Linked DNA regions of Macaca mulatta. The protein of the gene in region 1 binds, or shares a complex with, the protein of each later gene. Links are inferred from orthologs where the notes say so. Each region holds a gene or a part of one and is shown in the gene's direction. Other genes may lie near its edges.

Region 1 (4,049 bases):
TGTCAGATGGAAGGGGGCCCCATCCACCCAGCCGGGACTGTGACCACACCCAGCTGCCCTTTACACCTGGCGGCCACAGCGGGCCCCTCATCCTTATCTCTGGCATCAGTGCCGCCTCCTGTACATCGACTAAGCACCGCAGGGCCCCGCCCCCCCCTTGTCTTCATTAGGAAACAGTCAAGGGCTCAGGGGAAGCCCGGACAGACTCTCAGCTCCTGCAGGGGGGTGGGGGGTGGCGTGTGGTCAGTGTTTCCGGAAGGGGCAGTGGGGAGGGTGTGGAGGGGCCAGGGAGGCTCAGGCGGGCAGGAAGAGGGGAGGGCAGAGGTGTCACCTGGGGTGCCAGGAGTCCACTCTGGCATGAGGACTCCGGACCCTCTGTCTTGTGTGGCCTCAGACCAGTGGCTTGACCCCTCAGAGCCTGTGGCGTATGGAGCGTGCAGGGCTTGCAGGCGACCATGAGGGTACAGTGCAGGGTTGGGACACTGAGCCCAGCCCCAGCCACGAGAGGCCAGAAGCTTCGGTGCACAGGCCTGGAGAGGAATGACTCCACTCCCCGCCTCACGACAGCCCCTTCCTCGCCCTGACCCCAGCCAGTGGCCTCTCCCTAGAGCTGGGGGCTTGCGGGGGCCAATGAAAAGAGCAGGGCAAGTGTCAAGACTCACCTCACCCCCTCTGTTGGGCACCAGGGCTCCCCAGGAGCTCCCAGCTGCCCCCCACAGCCCCGCCTTAGCCTTGGTCACTAAGGCCCTGTCCAGCCCCACCCTGAGAAGCTGGCTTGTCTCTGGGGCAGGCAGGCAGGGGTGTCCCTAGGACACAGTGAGGAGAGTCTCTTCCTGCAGAACCTGCCATCAGGCAGGCAGGGAGGTACTCCCGGGCGAACACCCAGGTTCTGAGCCTCAAGGGTTGGCCTTAGGAATTTTGCCTGAGGTAGAGCTTAGGGGAGGAGCCAAGCAAGGGCAGCCTGGGCTAGGGAGGCAGGTTTCAGACACCCCAACACCAACGGCTTCTCTCCAACACCCTAGCTCTGCCCCTGCCCTGCCCCAGCCCCATGGCGCCCGTGAGCCATTCTCTAGTCCTTTCTGCCCTGTGCCTCGGTGCCTGTGGCCTGAGCCCCCTGGTTAATCCCTGTACTCAGTCTAACTTGGGCCAAATGACTGCCCCCCTTCTGGCAGTGGGCCGGACCCGCCGGCCAGCGGGAGCCCCCTTGGCAGAGGCCGGTTGTAAAGGATCATAAAGTGGGCGGCGTCTGGCTGGGGCGAAGGTCGCTGAGGTAGGAACTGCGCCAGTCCTGGACGCCAAACCCACTCGGACCCTCCCGCCAGGTGACAGCCGCCAAGATGGGGTCTTGGGCCCTGCTGTGGCCTCCCCTGCTGCTCACGGGGCTGCTTGGCCGACCCCCGGGGACCGTGGCCCAGGTCCAGTGTACGTGCGGGCAGGGGTAGGTAGGTGGGGGCACAGGGCAGGGGGAGCCAGGGGCTGGGAGGCGCTGACCCCTCCTCTGCAACCTTACAGACTGCTCTGTGAACAAGTCCTTCTTTGAAGTCGAGGAGAACACAAATGTCACCGAGCCGCTGGTGGACATCCATGTCCCAGAGGGCCAGGAGGTGACCCTCGGACCCTTGTCCACCCCCTTCGCATTTCGGATCCAGGGAAACCAGCTGTTTCTCAACGTGTCTCCTGATTACGAGGTGTGGGCGGCAGGTGGGTGGGGAGTGGGGGCTCCCAGGAGAAGGGCGCCTGGATCCTCAGGCCACACCTTCCCCGGGGGGCCCAGGAGTTCTATGCCTGCAGGCATCCACTAACACCCATGCTTGGTGGTGCCTGCCCCAGAAGGCTGGGCCCACACCCTCAGCACTGACCACTGATGATGGGGACCCTGGGCCAGCGCCTGCCCCCTTGGCCTCAGTCTCACCACCTGTGGGGCGGGACAGTGACTGCAGACCCGTCTGCCTCCACAGGAGAACTCACTACTTGAGGCTCAGCTGCTGTGTCAGAGCGGAGGCACACCGGTGAGTCCCTGCCCCACTCTCCCCGCCCACCAGGCCACCTCAGCTGGGCTCTGCCCTGCCGGTCCAGGGCCAGTCTCTGATGACCTCACCTAGGGTGTGGTTTCACATGCCATCCCTCCGAGAGTGATGCTCACATTTCCTCCAGTCCAGACTCTGCCCTGAACTGTGGCATCCCCGTCACTGATCCCTTGTCCAGCAGATACCCCCACCCAGTGTGCCCGACTCCCACCCACTCCCTCAACCACCACTGCCCCCACAAGGGAGGCACCTTTATCCTGCCAGCCACTGGAACCACTTTGGTTTCCACTCGCCCTCCCTCCCCACGTCCCCCGCTAAGCTCCCCATTGGTAAATCACTTGGCTCTGCCCCAGCTCGACCCAGAAATCCATCGTCTGCCCACCTCCAGTCCCACCAGGGCCGGGACACCAGCACTCATTTTGGGAAACTTTCAGCCGGCCCGCTGGCTTCCCTGTTGCCCCTTGCCGGTCCCAGTCCACTCCATGTGGCGGAACAGCCTCTGTGGACGCTGTAAACCAAGGCTGCCCAGTCCACCCCAGCCCTCCACAGCTCCTTTCTCACTGAGAGTCAAACCCAGATGTACTGTGCGGAGGCTCTGCTGCAGCCTCAGAGCTCCCGCAGGCACGCTCCTCCCCCACCTGCTCAGGTCTGCAGTCTTCAGAGAAATCCCAACCGCCCTATTAGGGAATAGTTGCATCCCAGCCCCGCTCCCCCAACATCCTACTTCTTGACCAGCGGCATTTTTTTCGGCTTTATTAAGGAAAATTGCAGAATCCTGAGGCCAGCACAGGCCCCCGCCCCCCCCCCCACCTACCAGCAGACAGAGGGCTCTGTGCCCACCGCACACCACAGCACATCACCCACATATATCTTGGCATGTGTCTCTGAAAGAGAGGGATGCTTCTTTTTTTTGAGACAGAGTCTCGCTCTGTTACCTAGGTTGGAGTGCAATGGCGAGATCTCGGCTCACTGCAACCTCCGCCTCCCGGGTTCAAGTGATTCTCCTGCCTCAGCCTCCCGAGTAGCTGGGATTATAGGCGCCCACCACCACGCTTGGCTAATTTTTGTATTTTTGGTAGAGACAGGATTTCACCATGTTGGTCAGGCTGATCTCAAACTCCTGACCTGGTGATCTGCCCGCCCCAGCCTCCCAAAGTGCTGGGATTTCAGGCATGAGTCACTGTGCCTGGCCGGGATCCTTCTTTTTTTTTTTTTTTTTTGAGACGGAGTCTGGCTCTGTCGCCCAGGCTGGAGTGCAGTGGCCGGATCTCAGCTCACTGCAAGCTCCGCCCCCCAGGTTTATGCCATTCTCCTGCCTCAGCCTCCCGAGTAGCTGGGACTACAGGTGCCCGCCGCCTCGCCCAGCTAGTTTTTTGTATTTTTTAGTAGAGACGGGGTTTCACCGTGTTCGCCAGGATGGTCTCGATCTCCTGACCTCGTGATCCGCCCGACTCGGCCTCCCAAAGTGCTGGGATTACAGGCTTGAGCCACCGCGCCCGGCCTTTTTTTTTTTTTTAGATGGAGTCACCCTCTGTCGCCCGGGCTGGAATGCAGTGGCACGATTTCCGCTCACTACAACCTCTGCCTCCCAGGTTCAAACGATTCTCCTGCCTTGGCCTCCACCCACCTCGGCCTCCCAAAGTGCTGGGATTACAGATGCCTGCCACCACACCCAGCTAATTTTTGTATTTTTAGTAGAGACGGGGTTTCACCATGTTGGCCACATTGGTCTCGAACTCTTGACCTCAGGTGATCTGCCCGCCTCGGCCTCCCAAAGTGCTGGGATTCCAGGCGTGAACCACCACGCCCGCAAGGACTCTTCTTTTTAAAACATAACCACAATGTCGTCACACCTGGGAAAAGTGGTCACTTTCTACCTCGAATGTTCAGGATGCCGCATTCCCCATGGTCTCTGAAGGGTTTTTTTTAACAATTGTTTGTTTGAATCAGGGTCCACGTTATGCACCTAGCTGATAATTCTCCTGAGTTTCTGTTCATCTTCACGTTTCCTTCTCCCATCTT
Region 2 (4,033 bases), on another chromosome or scaffold:
ACTGTCCTATGTAAGGAAAAGCAATGAACTCAAAACAGTAAAGAGCTTAACGCTTAAACCATTGAGAACTCAAGTTTTTTTTTAATTTTTTTTTAATTTTCAATTTTTGTGGCTACATAGTGGGTGTATTTAAGAACTTTTGAGACAGAACCCCCAATACAACTAGCACACAAAGGGAAAGCAAACCCCACGTGTTTCCCACACCAGGTTCTGCTTCACTTATCCTTAATCTCAGGTGCCGAGCACCGTGCCAGCAGAGTGGGCCCCATTAAGAGTTTACAGAATAAACAAACAGTAAAGAAAGGAGACCAAACTTCGGTGAGGAAGGTGAGGAGAAAGAGGAACCGTCTCAAGGTGGAAGAAAGGCACAAAAATCACAAGTGCCAGAAGTGCATTCCTTACTCTATGCATGCATCTGAAACATGCGTCCTGCACTTATGTCCGGTGTTGCAGGCAAGATTAAACCACTCCCTTAGGAGTGAAAAGTGTAGGAAGGATCCCCCGCCCCATCGCCCCTTGGATTCTCCAACTACTCAACTACTGAAAACTCTTAACAGAAGATACCTCTCCTTCCCTAGCACTTTGCACACAATAGGAGCTTAATATACGAAAGTGACTTCCCAATTTCAGCAAAAACCTTCGCCGATTCAGAAGAAAGCTTTCCCACCAGAATCCCGTCTCCAACGTTCTAGCTTCGAGGCTTGCAGCCGGTCAGTGGGCTCTTGCCCTCCTCGGGCCGGGTCGCGGGAGGGAAGGTTTCGGGGGCCTCCTTGCCCCCACCCGCGGGGTGCCAGGCCGAGACCCGCCGAGTAACTGCTCCGCCCCCCAGCCCGGTCCCCCAGGTCCCTGCCCCACCTGATTGGTCGCCGCTGTAATATTCCGAGTCCATGGCAGGCGGACTCTCAGCGGGGAGTGTCCGCGCCCCGCGCCGCCCCCGTCACCTCCTTCCAGGCGGTGTGACCCCGGAAGGCGCGGCTGAGTGTTCAGAGACTCCCGCCCGACCGGAGAACTTAACGGGTGCGGAGAGTAAGAAAGCGGCAGCGGCAACGGCGAATGCTTTGACCTGGAAGCGGAGGCAGGCTGGCAGGCTGGCAGGCAGGCAGGCACGCGAGCCGGCGCTCTACTTCCTAGAAGCACCGCTGGGGCCAAAATGGCGTCTGCCCACGACCCTCAAAGGAATGCAGCGCGCAGGCGCCGCAACCCGTCAACCGGCCAATGAGAAGACGCAACAGCACTGACGCCAAGGCACGGCCGGAAAGGAGACTCCTGGGAAAACTGAGCTGGAGCTCGGGCTTTAATTAAATACCTTGCTCGGGTGGATCCCGGTCTGGCCCCCGTGGAAATAACGTTATCGTTTATTCTTTATCATTTTCTAGATTCTGTGTCCGTGCCTTGTTTGAAGAGCTTTTGAGATACTCTTCCGAAAAATGAAGACCCGCTCAAATGACTTTTCCGTCATTCAGCCAAACCACGGTGGTTCCCGTCAGGCCCCGAGGCGCCTCGTTCCCGCCCGCAGTAGGCGAGAAAGCGAGCGTTGCTCCCTGGGACTTGTAGTACGACGACCGCGAGCTGTGATGCGTTACTAACTGGCGCGAGCCACGGCGCCTCCTCTCCCAGCGTCTTCCTCTCTTTCATCCTTGTTAAGAAGCTATTTGGCCAGCAGTAAGAAGTACACATCTTTGCTTCCAGAAGGGTTCCCCTGATGAAACACCGAGGAAGGTGAAGTTGAACTTTACCTGAGCCCTGTGTTCCTAGAAAACAGCGGTGATTAAGAAACCCCTTCGTCTATTTGTGTGTCTGGAACGGCACACTGTGAAGAACCACCCATCGCCACGTGACTCGGATAAAACGCGTGCAGATGACCCCCTTGTTTGCCTGTGACGAGGACAAACAGACCTTTCCCCTTTATTCTGAGCCTGTTAATAAAGCCAGACAGACCTTAAATTCCTGCTGCTGATAATCGAGTAATTAGTTGAGATTAGAACACTCCCCCGACCCCAAACTAGTTAGAGAATATTTTCTGTTCACCTGACTGAAATTTATCCTGATTGCAAAACAATCCCAACTGTCAGTCATTCCACCTTCCTCCCTATAAAAGGCAAAACTGCGCTGCCAAGACACTGATCGTCTCTGGAGTGCTCTCCCTGTTGAAATAGGCTGAGTAAAATCTATTTCCTTACTTGTTCATTTTAGTCTTGGACAGGGAGGGGAACATTCTTGACTTTTGATGGGAGGAGGGCCAGTAGAGGTTTAAGCAAAGATTCCCCAGGAGGTGTAGACATGTAGAAAAAGAGCGTTTTGTTACTACTACAGATATCTGACCCTTCGTTAGCCAGTCAGAGTATGCTGGCAGAGCCCAATTATAGGCTCCTGAAGAGGACGTGGGAAGAGAAGAAAGGGGAGAAGTGGTTTCTCTCTGGAAATTCCCATTTTCCTGCAAGAGAGTTCACGGATATTCTTTTCCGATGTGGTGGAAACAGCATGGAATCCAAATTCCTTATTTTCAGCTGTGGGAATGGCAGCTTCTCAGGCAGTCTTGAGAATCAGAAGAACAAAGAATGAGCAATGCCCGACACCAAATCACTTGATAGAAGATATCAAGGCTCTAAGCCCTCTTCTAAAGGTGAGAGTATACCTGTGTAAATGTAGAGTACACCTGTGTAAATGGAGCAGGATTAAAAGATGAAAATTCCAGGAAGAGTTTCGGTGGAAGAGAACCTTTTAGTTTCACCAGAGATGTAAGTCCAGCAGTCAGGAAAGTGGTTGGGTTATAAACAATGCAATTGCCAGATGATAATTACTGAATTTTAGCGTTAAAACTAACTGTACTGGTGGTTTGGAGAGTGGATAGAAACACTCTGGACACACAACAATGTTCTTAGCTCTAGAAGGCTGCAAAGAAGCATCAGATCTAACTTTTGTACTCAGAAAGTCAACAATTTAGTAAGACAGGACACCTCTTTCAAATGAATACAGAGCCTTAGTTAAAGCAGTGTGTTTATCAGTGGAAACACAGCTTACTGAGAGTTCCCAGAGCTCCTTCCTACCAGCTGGCTGTCCCTCCTGGATGCTGGTAGAGAAATTCTGTAGTGGCACAGATGTGTCTTTCTGAGTCTTGGCTGCCTTACATTTTCAGGACTGCCATCTCCCTACCCCTCACACCCCACCCCAGTGCAGTTGGCCCATGGCGGTGATTGGGAGGCACTCAGAAGAGAGGCTGTTTCCCACACCAAGGGTGCTAAGGACAGAGAAGGATGGAGGGGCAAACTTGCAGCAGTCCACAATGCTTCCTCCCTTAACAGATAACCCAGAGACACTGCATTCCCTAAATGAATGTAAGATGTATTTGGAGACACTCTGAAGACACTGCCATCTGCTGAACACGTAAGGGAGCAAGAGACCAAATAATATAAACAACAGCCTGGGAGCAAGAGACCAAATAATATAAACAACAGCCTGGCACCATCAGAGCTGTAGACTGGGGGCTTAGAGCCCTAGGTTGTGGCCCTATCACTGGGCTTATTGTACTTGGTGAGCCGGGACAAGCTACCAGTCTTCTATGAGCCTCAGTTTCCACATGTATCAAATGAGAGGGTTGAATCAGGTTTCAAGTCCTCTTAGCTTTTTTCTATGTCAAAGAAGCCAGGTCTCTAAGTCTGACCCAGCTTCTTGTGCTTGAGCCACTAGCAAGCCCTACCAGGGAAGACACAAACGAAACTTACTAGCTGTGTGACCTTGAGCAAGTTGCTGAACCTCTCTGTGCTTCAACGTCCTCACCTATAAGTTGGGGATAACAGTACCATTTATGTCACAGAGTTGTCATGAAGCTAAACGCACATATATAATTATATAATATGTTATAATTATATATATTACATGTATAATATTAAACATGATATATATAATATATATATATAAAATGATTCCTGGGACAGAATATTGTGAAATTAAATAATTCAAACTTTTTTTTTTTTTTTTGAGATGGAGTCGCGCTCTGTCACCCAGGCTGGAGCACAGCAGGTTGGAGTGCAGT

Evidence for each region. The genes of interacting proteins can lie anywhere in the genome.
Region 2: CDHR5 (region 1) and MYO7B share a complex: the UniProt entries of both Homo sapiens proteins name them as parts of the IMAC/intermicrovillar adhesion complex. The link is inferred for Macaca mulatta from reciprocal best matches to the Homo sapiens genes CDHR5 and MYO7B.

Annotation. Positions count from the first base shown.
Region 1 is NC_133419.1:517,265-521,313, reverse strand, and holds the start of CDHR5 (cadherin-related family member 5), read left to right. Parts: upstream 1-1,249; 5' UTR 1,250-1,337; coding exon 1,338-1,422; intron 1,423-1,512; coding exon 1,513-1,688; exon of another isoform or gene 1,689-1,701; intron 1,702-1,958; coding exon 1,959-2,009; intron 2,010-4,049. UniProt on the Homo sapiens protein: Intermicrovillar adhesion molecule that forms, via its extracellular domain, calcium-dependent heterophilic complexes with CDHR2 on adjacent microvilli. Thereby, controls the packing of microvilli at the apical membrane of epithelial cells.
Region 2 is NC_133417.1:9,752,228-9,756,260, reverse strand, and holds the start of MYO7B (unconventional myosin-VIIb), read left to right. Parts: upstream 1-1,233; 5' UTR 1,234-2,623; intron 2,624-4,033. Other genes in the region: protein IWS1 homolog, read right to left, coding at 856-889. UniProt on the Homo sapiens protein: Myosins are actin-based motor molecules with ATPase activity. Their highly divergent tails are presumed to bind to membranous compartments, which would be moved relative to actin filaments.